Ovis aries: one gene and its partner. Each later gene encodes a partner of the first gene's protein in a complex. Links are inferred from orthologs where the notes say so. Each region holds a gene or a part of one and is shown in the gene's direction. Other genes may lie near its edges.

What was found. The genes of interacting proteins can lie anywhere in the genome.
Region 2: STRN3 (region 1) and STK24 share a complex: the UniProt entries of both Homo sapiens proteins name them as parts of the core of STRIPAK complex. The link is inferred for Ovis aries from reciprocal best matches to the Homo sapiens genes STRN3 and STK24.

What each region holds. Positions count from the first base shown.
Region 1 is NC_056071.1:39,341,934-39,345,581, reverse strand, and holds part of STRN3 (striatin-3), read left to right. Parts: intron 1-617; coding exon 618-751; intron 752-2,057; coding exon 2,058-2,233; intron 2,234-2,414; coding exon 2,415-2,462; intron 2,463-2,759; coding exon 2,760-2,881; intron 2,882-3,648. UniProt on the Homo sapiens protein: Calmodulin-binding scaffolding protein which is the center of the striatin-interacting phosphatase and kinase (STRIPAK) complexes.
Region 2 is NC_056063.1:74,891,126-74,894,873, reverse strand, and holds the start of STK24 (serine/threonine-protein kinase 24), read left to right. Parts: upstream 1-1,141; 5' UTR 1,142-1,503; coding exon 1,504-1,545; intron 1,546-3,748. UniProt on the Homo sapiens protein: Serine/threonine-protein kinase that acts on both serine and threonine residues and promotes apoptosis in response to stress stimuli and caspase activation.

The sequences.
Region 1 (3,648 bases):
CAGTAAAACAAGTCAAAATAAAAAAAGCATAGACAGAGTTTGAAAACCGGAAGGCATTCTGAAGATCACATGGATTAACCATTTAGGGAAAAGAAACTGACGCTAAAGGTAGAACTGCCCTTTTCCTAGACCATTTAGAAATCTGAGCAATTTAAGGCTTTACTTCAATAAGCTAATACACTGTATAAGAGACTGGAAGCTCATAACATGCGAATACTTGTATTAACTTTCTATCAGGGATGAGAATATCTAGCATTTTCAAACAAATATGATGGAAAGTGAAAGGACTTAGCAATAACCTATTATGTTTAAAAAATACTATAATTATAGTTGTACCAAAGGGATATAAATAGATAAAGCTCCCACCTTTAAATAATACATCAAGTGCATATTTTATTTGTGGGAAATTACACTCAGTTCTGAAATAAATAAAACACTTGTTTATTACTGCACAGTAATAGGATTTTTTGAGTAGAAGAAATAAGGAGGGAAGTGGGAAAATAAAAAAGTAATTATATTACTGAATATTATAACTGTTAAGTGCTTACATTTCCCCACAATATTGTCTTGTACTGTATGATTTTTCAGCATTTAAGAAGCGGTTTTGTTCTTTATAGCTGAACCAATAACGTTTCCATCTGGAGGAGGCAAGTCATTTATTATGGGTTCTGATGATGTTTTGTTAAGTGTACTGGGCCTTGGAGACCTTGCAGACTTGACGGTAACAAATGATGCAGACTATAGTTATGATGTAAGTGCAGTTTTATTTTTAATTTTTTAATGATTTAATAGAAGGCTCCTTATTTTTTGGAAACACTTATAAAACAGAATTAATGTCAAGGTGCATGGAAAAGATAAAGTGTGACATTGTGTTTATTTGAAGTGATATATAGTTTTTTTCTTACAACTACTTTCTTTGTGGTATTTAAATTTTTCTTGGGTATTGTGGTGTATTAGGAGTTTGGGGTGATTGATTACCTAAAAATACTGATTGATAAATACCTACCCTTAGTAGTCAACTCTCAATTACCTACTCAAATTAAGCCATACTTTGCTGTTAACAAGAGAAAAATAGGTAACCTGAATCACTTACCTGCTTTCAGGATAATTCTTTAAACACATTTTAGTTTTGAACTTTTTTTTAAAGGATAATGTTAAAGTTAGTTTGTCATTTCCTAAATACTTAGTCTTTCATTTGAGGGATGGGGAGAGGATGAAGAGGGAATGGAAAAGACAGTGTTAGAGGTGAAACTAGTCTTGGATTAAATTTTTTATAGACAATAAGCACTCAATTGAGAGTTAACTATACTTACTTAGATTTTGTATTAGTGAATTTGCAGATTTTCAGCAAATTAATTTTTCCTTTTATAAACATATTTTTTTCTATGTTTTATACTTATATTAGAATGCTTTTTAGAGACATCGGCCTTGGTGGGCTGGATTATTCTCATTAATACTTTTAAAGTATGTAAGCAAATAAATTCTATAATAACCTTTTGACTGCTTTAGAAGTGGTTTCACAGCCTATCTTTACAGATGGAGAAATGAAGGTAAAAAGATTAACTTCTTACCAATATCAACAAAAAGTGTCTTTAGTTCAGACTTTTGAAAAGTACTTTAACTTGCTGCCTTGAAAAATGTCACATGCTGATTTTCTAAATGACAACTGTATTGTTAATATTGTACCCTTGGATTTTTGGTAGTAATTTATTTAATTTTTGTTTTCATGTAAAATGTTGCAACATGGTAGTTTCTTTGTGTGTTTTGTTTTTTCCCTCATTTTAATGTTTAGTAGGACTTTGGGTTTACCTTGATCATTAGGTAAAACAGATTAAAGGACTCATTCGACCTAAGTATTTGAAAGCTAATGAAATGATTCTTCTTAGTTCTTATTAAATGATAAAGATATAAAGTTTTTAAGGCGTGCTAAATTTCCACTGGACATTTTAGCAAAGCACTTTTGAATGTACCTTTTAAACACAGCAAAACAAACAAAAACTCCACATGCCTATCAGTTCATTACTTTTACCACTAAATATAGTGCTCTTTCTTTCTAGTTGCCTGCCAATAAAGATGCCTTTCGAAAGACATGGAATCCCAAGTATACACTACGTAGCCATTTTGATGGAGTTCGGGCATTAGCTTTTCATCCTGTAGAACCTGTGCTGGTTACTGCCTCTGAGGACCATACTCTGAAACTTTGGAACTTGCAAAAAACAGTTCCTGCCAAAAAGCAAGTATTTTAATGTTAGCCTGTTTTTTTCTTCCAAATTTGCTAATTATAAGTAATTATTCTCCTTTATGGTCTGTATCTTTTATGCACTTATTTGATCTTTCCTAATGACTCTTGTATATCAACCAGTGTTTTACCATAATTTATCTTCTCCCCTCCCCTTTTTTCTCCCCTCTTTTAGGAGTGCCTCTTTAGATGTAGAGCCTATCTACACATTTAGGGCCCACATGTAAGTTTTATTGAATTAGTACTTAATTAACAGCCGTAATTATTGTTAACTATTATTTATCACTCCTGTAGCCTTGTAATTTTTTCATGATGTTTGTTTTACATTAAGAAAGACATTAGCTGAATAATACTACATTTGATTAATAATTATACTAATGAGAATATAATTAGTACCGTTCCAATGTACATGTTAACTTAAACAGTTTTAGATACCACATAAATTTAGAGAGAGGTGGGAGGGGTACAAATGTAAGTTTGTAGGCTTTCTCACTAATTTTTCCCTCTTTTCCTGTGATAGTGGTCCTGTTCTGTCACTAGCTATTAGTTCCAATGGAGAGCAGTGTTTTAGTGGTGGTACTGATGCAACTATCCAGTGGTGGAACATGCCTAGTCCTAATGTGGATCCATATGATACATATGGTGAGTAAAAGGCTCAAGATGTGTCTTTTTAAGTGAATGGCGCTGACAGAAATAATCACCTCAAATATTATTTAAATATGTATTAAACTTGTCATTTAGTCTTTCCATTTACTAGTAATTTGCCCTATTAAAGAGAAAAATTAAGAAATAATCATGCCATAAATATTTTAGCCTGCAAGTTGGTATTTCCTATATTGTGTTCAAAAAGTTTTTTAAAACTATATTAATTAAAGCATTAATTTCTATACTAGAAAAGAGAAATTTAACATGAGGAATAATTTTTTTCAACTTAGCTACTTTACGTAGTTCAAAAATAATTAGTGCAAGACTACAGAAGCAAATGGGAATTCTCAGATGATGCAGTGGTAAGGCATCCACCTGCCATTGCAGGAGACTCAGGTTCAGTCCTTGGGTCAGGAAGATCCCTTGGAAGAGGAAATGGCAACCCACTCCAGTATTCTTGCCTGGAAAATTCCACGGACAGAGGAGCCTGGCATGCTATAGTCCATGGGGTTGCAAAGAGTTAGACATGACTTCGTGACTGAGCATGCATGTAGAAACAAATAAGGACATGAGGGTATAAATCAGTGAACTTGAGGGACAAAAAATTTCTTAATTTAAAAAAACTGAAACTTTGATTCATGAATGCCATTTTTAGAATCTGGCCAACAGAAATAACCTGTGCATATATTTAAATATAATTATAAGGACATTGTTTGTAACTATAAAAAAATTAAAATGAATTTATTAGTATGAGAATGGTTAAA
Region 2 (3,748 bases), on another chromosome or scaffold:
ACTCTGAATCCAGTTGACACCTCTAAGAAACACCCCTCATTCGGTGGAGGGCTTTTCAACTTCTTCCAGCGGTCTGCGAACTCTATGGGCTAATTTTTGGAGGTCCAGCCTCACCCAGCCTTGGTGCAACGTCATTCACGGGCACGAATGTAGACGTCGGGGTCCTAGCAACCCCAGCTGCAGCCGGTCCCTTCAGGGGACTGCCGCTGTTGGTCGTTGTAAACAAACTACTACTTTCTGGAGGCAGCAGTGACTCACTCCTTCTTGCTTCTTTCCTCTGGAGTCGGAGGAGAGGTGACCAGAAGGTGGAGGCAGCCGAAAGAGCGGGAGAGAGGCAGGGGAAAGTCTAGACATCGTTTCCTTCCATTGTCTTCCCTTCCTCCTCGGCCCTCCCTGCCCGCTTCTCCCTTCTGGTGGGTGGACGTCCCCCGCCCCCACGCCTTGGTCCGGGGCCCAGAGACGATGGGGTTCAGCCCCCTCACTGTTTGTTGGCTAAGTTCACAGCTCCTAGTATTCCAAGTGCTTTCAAGCAGCCAAAGCACGGGAAACGAACCGCTTTCGGCCTCTCCCCTCCCGGAGGGCTTCCTCCTTGGGTTGGTTTGGAAACTTCACCCGGACACCGAAGAAGCTCCGCCCCGGTAGTTTTGAACCGGCCGCTGGCCGAGGCCCCCGCCGGGTCCCCAGGCTCTGCCCTCGGGGAAGTGGCCTGGGGCCCGTCGCCAGGCCGAGAGGGGTGGGCTTCTTTGGAAGGCAAGCCCAGATCCCCCGGGGCGTCCGACCGGCCCGGGCCTGCAGGGCGGGGTGGGCGCATGGCCCATCCCTGACTCCGAAGACCCGCGCCCTCCCATCTCACCACCGGGGGGGACCCCTGCCCCCCGCTAACTGAGGCCCCTAGCCCCGCACCCGCCCGCGCGTCCCCCTCCACCTGGTCTAGCCCGCGGGAGCCGCGCGGACCTCTACCCGGCCCGGCCCGGCGGCGGCGCGGACCGCTGCGGCCTAGGGCGCCGGGCGGCCGCGAGCCTCCTCCCCCTCCCGGAAGCGCGGGGCGGGGTCCCCGGCCCGGCCGCGGGGGCGGGCGCGGGGGCCGGGCCGGGGCGGGGCGCGCTCGGCGCTCGCGGGCTCGGCCGGCGGTGCGCGCCCCACTCCAGCTCCAGGCGCCAGCGCGCGGGCCCAGGCCGCCCGGTTCCAGTCCAGCAGCAGCGGCGGCGGCGGCGGCGGCGGCAGCAGCAGCAGCAGGGCGGCCGCTCGTAGGGAGGCCCCGCGCTCCTCGCAGCCCGTCCCCGGCGCGGTGCATGGAGACGAGGCCCGCCACCCGCCCCTGAGCCCGCCGCCCGGCCCAGGACCCACGGGGGGCTAGGGTGGCCTCGGGCTCCGGCCGGCCGGCCCCCCATCTCCCGCCCCCGGCCGCCCGAGGAGGGCTGCGCGCGGCCCGCGGGCCTCGTCGCCCGCGCGGATCGCCGCGGCCCGGCCGTCCCGTCCCAGGAAGTGGCCGTCCTGACCGCCATGGCTCACTCCCCGGTGCAGTCGGGCCTGCCCGGCATGCAGGTACAGGCAGGAACCGGGCCGCCGAGGGGCGGGAGGGATGCGCGGGCCGGGGCGGAAGCGGGGAACTTGGCGGTGTAAACACGGCCGCTCCCCCAACCCCCAGTTCCCCCGAACGCTGCCCCTTCCGGGGTCGCGCCGGCCTCCCGCGCCGCGCTCGCCGCCTCCGGGGCGTCCTGCCCGGCCCCGCGGCCCGGGTCTCGCGGGTGGGGTGGGGGTCGTGAAGGGACCTGGGGGGCCGCGGCCCGGAGGCGGCCCTCGCGGGCCGGGAGTCCCGGTGGTCCGGGGAGGGGAGAATGTGCGCTGCTGGCCCAGTCGCCCTCCTCGCGTCCCCCTCCCGAGCAGCAGGCCCCGCGCCGGCCCATCCCCTGGGAAGAAGTGATGTGGAGAAATGCCCTTGGAGGCCCGGCTCGTTCTCGGGGCCCGGGTGCGGGCTAGGGGTGGGCAGCGGTGGAGGCCCTTGTCCCTCCCCACCCCCCCTACCCCGGAGAGGGGGCCCCCGGGCGCGCCCCGGCTCGTCCCGGCCCGGCGGGTGGAGGAGACAGGGCGGGGAGAGGAAGGGGTAAGCGCCAGCTCCGCTTTCAGCGCGTTGCTCCGCGCGCTTCCTCCCGGTGCAGACGGACGGGAAGGTGCGAAGCCTGGAAGTCCGTTCTGGAAGGGAGGAATCGATCGGACAGCTTGCACTCGGACAGCGTGGGTCCCGGGACTCTGGGCTGGACTTGGAAACTCGATTGGATCCGACCACGGAGAGTCCCTTCCCACTAACCCTCTCCGTGGCTTCTTTGTGGCCTGTTGGCCTCCCAGCGGCTTAATAATTTTTTTCTGGAGTGGGGGCGAGGATGCATCAAAGAAAGTTTTTCGCCTTCGGGGATTATGTTTAGGCGTTTGAAAAATAAAAACCACCTTCCTCGGCTAGTTTGTGATGTGTATAAACGGGTAAATGGTGGCAAATGTTTGGGATTAAAAATCTCAACGGAACGGTTACGGTATCTCTCAAAAGTTTTGTTCCCCCCAGGTTAGCCGGGCGAGGGAACGTACGAACTTTAAGAAAACAATCACAAGTATCCGAGTGGATTATTTGTATTTTAGTGTTCAACGTACTGTTTCGTTTTTGTTTTTTTTTTTCCTCCCCTTCCTCTTGAGGGCTGAGAAGTATTTGGACCACATGGGAGCCAGGAATCTGCCCCCTCATTCGAGAGAGATCTTTTCTCTCTCTAAATCCGAAGTAGAAAACTCGACTTCATTGTTCAGGTTTGATATCTAGAAAAAAGTTACCGGGATTTTAGCTTTTTTTTAAAGTGGAGTGACAATTAACATTAATAACTTTACTGTACTTAAAAAGAAAACTGTCCTTGAACCTCCTGTAAAGAGCTTTTAAACAACACGCATTAAAAAACCTAAGCTACTGCTGACCGCTAGGTAGAAATCAGATGTGGTTTCTTGGTATTTCCTAAAATTCCTGCTTTGGTTTGGTTTGAATTTAGAGACAGGAAAGCAGGGTGAACTGGGTAAAAATGTATTTCTGACCAGTAGAGCAAGAAGGACCTCTTGTAATGATTTGGAAAAAAAAAAACCCCCCACCAAGAACCATATTTGGTCAGTACTTTCTTGAGATATACTCTTATGCTGTTAATTAGGTTGTATGTAGTCTGGTACACATGCCTTGCTCAGTACTACTGTGGAGGTGTAGTCAGCCTTTGTGGAAAGGGAATCTATTTAAAAAGGTACTTAAAGCTTCTCTGGCTGATGCCCTCCAGTCAGTATCAGATGGTCACCAGGTCAGGTGGTTATCTAGTCTCAACACTTTTTTTTTTGTCCTCACCTTTCAATTTTTTGCTTCAGGAGTGTGGGCCAGAATTCTTAAGTCTTGGATAAGGAAGATTCATTTCTTCAAAAAAGAAAAGCTTGCCTCCCCAAACATATTTCCTCCGTAAAGTTACAAGGGAGCTGTTTTTATTTTGCTTTCTCAGTATAAAGGCTGGTAAGTTTTTATTTGGTTGAAACAACTAGACTTTCAGCTCTTGCAGTTTTAGGGGCGCGAGGTGGCTTTGGACAGAGTCATCCCTGTGTTTGAAGTGCCTCCATACAATCTATGATGTTTGTTTCTGATGTGCCATTTGGGAAGGAATATTCTTTCCTTCTCCCTTCCACTCCAAAAGAAAAACAACACACACATTTTATTTTCTGCTTTGAATCAGCAGCTGCT